Tribolium castaneum: one gene and its partner. The protein of the gene in region 1 purifies or fractionates together with the protein of each later gene. This does not show direct contact. Links are inferred from orthologs where the notes say so. Each region holds a gene or a part of one and is shown on either strand. Other genes may lie near its edges. The genes, in order: Myb and lin-52.

Region 1 (3,829 bases):
AAAAGATCAGTCTTGTTTGACGGAAGAATAACACTGAAAAGTGCCAAGTCATTTTTAAAACAAAAGGAATTAATGCACTTTTTTAAGACGCGGAATAATGGATTAAGCTGTTACCCAATTATGGATAAAACTTCAACAATGTATTCCTGTAATATAAGACCGTTGTCGGCAAGCGCACATGGTGTACACAAACAAACACAAACAAGAAAACAAACACAGTAGAGGTGGATACAATTTATTATTGTTTGAAAATAAGATAAGCTCCGAATTAAACAAAATAATTTGTTAACTGAAGTTATTCAAGCTTTGGCGGAAAATTACCACTTAGTGCATAATGTAAGCAAATTAATGAACTGTGGGAAATTTATCGCATATTTATGATAACCCGTGCAGTCCATCTCACTGCAACTCAGTCGTAATCATTTCTATGGCTATTAAGAAGCCGATCGAGCGTACTAATTAAAGCCGCACCGGAGAAATACGTTTGGAAGGGCCACCGTTACGCACAAAATTCGGACCTGGTGTTTGCTAATTTTGGCTTGTTGACATTATTTTCCCCCGAGTCGAACGATGTCTTCGCCCCTTTTTTCTCGGTGCGCCCAAGCATGTCGAGATATCCAAGACAAAAGCGAAGAAACCCTTCTGTAGAATTTCTCGCTATACCGGTTCCCACCATGAACGGAAGAGGGGCAATGCCCTTTGTGTGTTACCTCTACACATTCATTGCACAAGACGTCTCGTAATAAGAAGAAAAGCAATTTTCTCTCAATAGCCGATGGAGATACGCTCATCAAAAGACAAAAAGGAAGTAACGCGTCATTAAAGAATTTTTTCCGGACGCTCGGAGAATGCCGATGAAGGCAGGCGTCCTTGGCTGTTAGTAAATCGGGTCACGCTCACCTCTTTGGTCCAGGGGCCCTTGACCAGTTCGGGATTCACCACTTTGGTCCAGCGCTGCTGGCATTGGACGTCCGACCTATCTGGGAAAAGCTCCGCAATCACATCCCATTTCTCGTTGTATTCCTCCACCAGCTGCTTCAAACGGGCGTCCTGTAATCAATTTGGACATTAACAAACTGGAATTTCCATCTATTATCTAGTCTGTCAACGGCGAGCTTGCTAAATAATAGCAAAGCGAGCTAATGAAACGATAATTAATTCAAAGCAGGTGTTCGATAAAGAACACCAGCTATATGTTAAACTATTTTCTCTTCCTTACCTCCTCTTTGCTCCACCGGCCCTTGTTTATGGGTTTCTTCGTTTTGGAATGTTGAGGTTCTTCGGTGAATGCTGAAGAGTCGGAATCCTCATTTCCAGAAATGTCGATTTCCGAATCTTCCTTTCGGTATCTGCAACAATAGAAATCTGCTTAGGGCGGGAACAAAGGGGGCGAATTTTTCCCACCAAAATTTGGGGGACTTTGCGTAACTTTAGAATGCAATGGGATCAAAGGTCAAGCCAGGTGTATGAAGGCAATCAACACTGCAGGGTGGCTTTTACAAAAAATATTCTTTTCCCAAAATCTAGCAATCAAAATAATCATTCGATGTCTGAAAATCTCCCCTTTCTACGATCAGCATACACAGGCTTCAACATGCAACCACCCCTCTGCACTTAGTCATAGCAATGACCAAGTTCGGGGTCGGCCTCACCCCATCATTGTGGGCCTTCCCCTCCGAAATTTTCCTATGGGAATGGCCTATTTTCTATTCAGCGTAAGAAGATTCACAATGCAAATAATCTTCCGAATATCTTTTACCTGGCAGGTCTCGATTAAACCAGACCCTTTGTGTGTTTGTGAGACCTCGTTTAATCAGCGGCAAAGTAAAATTCGCTCCTTCCGAAAACCAACCACCCTATGGCGGAAATGCGTGACAATGACAGGAAGCCTTCCTTTAAGTGCGTTCGTCAAGCATATCGCCACAGACCGGATGACCTAATATCGTTTTTATAATGAAGTTCGATCAATGAGATAATATTTCCTCCGAAGGGCAATTAAAATAATCACTTTTCGTTTTATGCGGATTGTTTATTGGCGCTGATGAAGCTACCACCATTTGGAACACGAGAGAAACCAGATACACTGCCATATGTTGTCGATTTATTTACACTCGATCTGACTTCACCAGACGCATACCGTGAGCATTAGCAGCGAATGCTCGACAATGGGAAATTTTTAGCGTCTAGTTGCGGAAAAAGCGTTCAACGGCTCCACTGCGCCCACGCTGGGAGGATTTGTTTACAGCCACCGCTACTCCATGGGAGAAAACGAAAAAATGTCACGAGTATCGTTCTAGTCCTGGTGCGATTTTAGGATCAATTTGAAAAGGATAAATAAAGATGAGATAGTGGATCCTTATCTTATTTACATTACACCCAGTGACAAATATGGATATTCATTGACTCTCTGTGCATGAATTTACTTCGTTAACAATGCTTTCAGAGTTTAGTATGCACATAAATTAGTACACTAATACTTGTACACTTTTCATGAAAATGTATTACCAATTAACGAGTTACGTCAGGTGTTCTTATAGACAATGAGCGCGTAAAAAAGACTTAAAATATTTTCAAATCCGTTGGATATATTATTACCGACAAGAGTAATAATAATAATAAGAAACAGGAACAGAAAAAATATACAAAAAAATGTTTTAATGGATTAGATTCGACATAGGCCCAAAATTTGGGGTTCCCCGTGTGCGGAAAAATATCTTTTGAACAGAACTCTTGGGAAAACAACTTCGGGATCAGACTTTATGGAACAATGTTGGAAGATCATATCGGATGCTGTTTTTCAAGACAAGACACGTTTATGTCCATATTTTCAAATTTGCATACTTTACAATGACCTCGCGGTCGGTGGCAAAATAAGGTGGATAAGCAAGGGTTTAAAGCCATAAAGATGCCGCTTTGTATTTTTCATGTACCTGGAAGAATTGTGTACATCACCAAAAATTAGTAGGTTAATTAGTGCAGTTTCGAAAGGTTTTATTGTAGTTTTATGTGCGCTTGGAATTATTCAAATTAAATTAGGCCATTTCCCGGTAAATTGTCGGGTTTAAAGCAGAAGTGTTGTTATTTAAATTTCTGTGAAACCGGATTATGGAATAATATTCTCGGTACGTCAACCACCATCCAATTGCCACTTTTCCTCGACCTTCACTCTGCAATTTGCTGCTTACTTTTCCCCGTCTCGAAGTCAATTACCACCGCAGTAGGTGGCAGCGCTACCAACTGTCGCCGAAACCGTCTTCTCCTGGATCAAAACGAAATTGAAGGTAGCACGTGTCTGCGACATATGTGCTTTTCTAGATGAATTGCACCTGTCTTCCGAGGGGATGTGGGCGAAAGGGTCCTTGCCTTACACTGGACATTGAACTGCACTACAGTTAGGCCGGAGTAATGAACCAGAGGATATAGGGGTAGAGGATAATGCACCTGATTGGCGAACGACCGATATTGCTTTAATTAGTGGACGGCTGCTGCGGCCTTTGTGTTTTTCGAGATACGACGACAATTAAAACGATTTACCCCTTCGAATGTACAATGTACCCCATCGTATTGGCAATATGCCGCGTTTTGACACGGGGGTGTTACGCAGCTGCCGCTCGTGTGTGTACAATAGCGATGCGTGGGGCTAGACCGCATCTGCGCTGGTGTTGCTATACCAAAAAGACCCAAAAGAATCGGGCACGTGACGATTATCAGAATGGATGTGGCGATAAGCGCCGCCGCCGACACCTGGGCCGCCGGATTTGGGTCAGGTTCACGTTTCCACACCAGAAAGATTAAACTGTTTGAAGAGGAAGCGACCACGACAACATGA
Region 2 (3,185 bases), on another chromosome or scaffold:
ACGCGACAAATTAATGTTTACTTGACTAGCATTTACCTATCAAGCAGGTCAACGGACTAAATAAAGAAAAAACTATTACAACAGATGTAATACAAGAAAAAATTGCGTCAAGTGATATCACGAATGTTTTTCTTCGGATGTCGGTGTGTTAACAACCTGACGTAGTTCAGATAATGCACACTTTGTGACGTTATACGAGGCGATAAGTTAGTCTTTTAATCACTTAGTGGTGGTCGCCTATTAATAACAATTGTAAATATTTTTAATTAATGAATGACACAAGTGGAACACCGCCAGATTACTTAATTCGTAACATATGCTGACAACGTAACTTTAAAAATAACACACCCTTTGAATCAAATGGGACCATCCATCAACTGATGTAATTATTTACCTAAGTACCCAATTACTCACTTGATCTAAATATACACAATTCATAAAAGACTAACATAAATATTGACAGTGTTTAAACAAGATTAGCTCGCAATTTCCAGACTTACCTGTAACGATTTGTTCCTCCTGGGGTTTATCCTCGTTTCTTTTGAAAATAAAATCACCGAGGGCCCTGGAAAGGGCCAAGTTCCCGTTAACCCTGTTGTAATCAACAAACCCTCCCGCCGCTACGATCCTGTCGTACTCCTCCTTGTTGTTCGGCTTGTGGTCGTTCGAAAGCGGCTCCGCCTTGCCCCCAATGCTCGCCACAGCTCTAGAGTCCCCCACGTTGGCGCAGTACAACGTGCCATTTTTGATAATAATAGTGACGGCTGTGGAGCCCGACTGCTCGTTTCTCAACGACTCATCCTCCAGCATGACCCGGTCGATCTCCAAGAAGGCCTGCTTCAGCCCCTCCTCGATCTGGCCGTTCTTGTACTCCTCCCGGTTCGTGATAAACTTGTGCAGGTGCTTGCCCGCGTACTCCGAGATCTTGGAGCCCCCATGCCCGTCGTAGACCGCGAAAAACGCGGCCTCGGGGTCGTCCGGCAGGGACAAGATGTGCGTATGGGAGTCCTCCATGTTGATGCGCCAGCCCTGCATCGAACTTGAGCCCACTTGGAAATTGGCGTTTTGGCAGCATGCTGTGTTCTTGGCAGTCACCGGTTCGGACAAAGTTTGACCCATAGTACCCCTGAAAGGGCGATAAGTCCGCAAAAAGCGCAAAAACACGAGGCAAGCGGGAAAAAACCGTCGCTACTTACTCAAAATTGAACTCTGCTCTTTGGATGGGTTTTATTTAGCATACTTGTGCTAAATCGAATCGCATATTTTGCGTACGCTAATTAACACCGCTTTTTGCTGTTGTGTGTCACGAGATATGGAACGCAATATTTAGGTTAATCGGGAGAGAACTCTTCGAAAAAAGAGAAACTTGACGTTTGAATGTCGAGCTGGGACGCGGCCGGCTGAGTGCGTCATCGCCTGTGCACAAGGCCGAAAACTTTTTTATGTCCTAAACAATAAAAATGTGCGGCACGTTCTTCAAATAAAAACTATTGACAATAAATTCGTTGTTACTTATTACTAATTAAATTACGATTTGATTTTACAATCTTGGCGAGGGAAGCGCCAACATTGCGACACTTAATACACCAGCCAAATTTAAAAACCAAACTTTTACGAAATTGGGGGCAAGTGAATCGGGGTTGACACCCAATTAGGGTCATTTGCGACTTTTGCTCGTTCTGTATAGTGTTTCTTTGCCGCTTTCAAAGTCCCCCTAAAAGCGCAGCCTTTTGATTACGTTTGCTGCAGTTGGCACAATTGCAAGATGGCGTCCGAGAAACCCGGGAGCATTGAACAAGGTAAAGCATTTTTAATAAAAAATCACCCTGTAAATGTTACTTTTGGCTCAATTTAATTATTAAACGATTGTTGAGGCCTTGCATGGACAGTTTACGCGAAATTGTCGGCTAGCGTGCGTGGACAAGTTCGCATTTTAAACAGAGTGGCTTATGTCAATCTGTCAAAATATAATTGATTTGTTGCATTTCCTAGAGCAAGATCAATCTTTGAGCGATCTAGAGCAGACCTTAATGAGTATGGAAAATCTGGATAGAGCCTCTCCAGAAATTTGGCCAGAGAAGTGTAAGTAGCGTTGCACATGTTTGTGGGATTAGGGCAATAATAGGGTTTCAGATCCAGGAATGACAGATTTTGTAAACAGTTTCACGCCACCAAGTGCCGTAAAACTGCCTTACTCGAAGGAATTGAGTCAGGATGACCAGAATTATCTGCACCGTAAGTTTGGATTAGTTTTTGTGTGATTGTAGAGAAGAGTGTGGTTTTTGTAGAATTAGCAGCTCTTCCAACAGCTGGACTGATTTCTAAAGTCAAGGAGTTGCATGATATTGCATATCAGTTGGGTGTTGAGGAATCGAAAGAAGTCACAAGGGGGAAATACTTAAATGTTTTTAAGCCCAGGCAGAAGCAGAAATGATTTGCAATTTGTTACCTAAGTAGAGGTTCCAAATAACGTGGAAGTTATAAAAAGAGCAGGGGAAATATATTTGTACATAGGATTATAAGTTTAAGTTTAAAGAAGTGATTGTACGTTAATTTCCTGGAGAAAATCATTTTTGTAATGTATTATTAAGCAAGTGCTTCAAAAGGATTTATGTATTATATTGCACTGCTGAAGTTTCGTTTGTATAATAAAAATCGAAAATAAATTTGGTTTTGTAAAAGGTGTCTTCATTTTCTACAATTAAAATTTTGTTCCCCGTTAGCTCACCAAAACAATAATGAGGTGATGCATTATTATTATTATTATTATTATTATTATTACTGAACCCAGCAGCTTCCTAGATTAAAAATATCCGGTGGAATGTAAATTGATAATTATTTTTGCAGGAGATTAAGCTCTCTAATAGGGCCTTCAACTGTAAAAAATCATGTTCGGACAAACATTCCTTAGGACCTTAACATTTTTTTAATTTTTATAAAATTTCTCGATTTTGCAAATTGCGTTAAAAAACTCGTATTTAAGGATTGCTCTAATTAGTCAAATTAATAACTCATTTGTCCAGCAAGAACCAGAAGAAGGTTTAGAACATTCTTGCCAGGAAAAAAGGAATTAAGGATGAGGTAAACAATGATTATTAGAAAATAAAGGAATTATTTATGAAAAAAAAACAACACATAAATCAAATATTTTTTACTTGGCGTTAAATAAGATGCACCTACCTTCA

Evidence for each region.
Region 2: the proteins of Myb (region 1) and lin-52 purify together in Drosophila melanogaster (affinity purification with western blotting; 3 studies listed by BioGRID, with this or other methods). This does not show direct contact. The link is inferred for Tribolium castaneum from reciprocal best matches to the Drosophila melanogaster genes Myb and lin-52.

The regions. Positions count from the first base shown.
Region 1 is NC_087396.1:14,741,452-14,745,280, reverse strand, and holds part of Myb (myb-related protein B), read right to left. Parts: intron 1,350-3,829; coding exon 1,220-1,349; intron 1,051-1,219; coding exon 901-1,050; intron 290-900; exon of another isoform or gene 1-289. UniProt on the Drosophila melanogaster protein: DNA-binding protein that specifically recognizes the sequence 5'-YAAC[GT]G-3'. Component of the DREAM complex, a multiprotein complex that can both act as a transcription activator or repressor depending on the context.
Region 2 is NC_087402.1:6,135,850-6,139,034, reverse strand, and holds lin-52 (protein lin-52 homolog), read left to right. Parts: upstream 1-1,651; 5' UTR 1,652-1,765; coding exon 1,766-1,799; intron 1,800-1,992; coding exon 1,993-2,082; intron 2,083-2,133; coding exon 2,134-2,235; intron 2,236-2,288; coding exon 2,289-2,434; 3' UTR 2,435-2,681; downstream 2,682-3,185. Other genes in the region: probable protein phosphatase 2C T23F11.1, read right to left, coding at 501-1,119.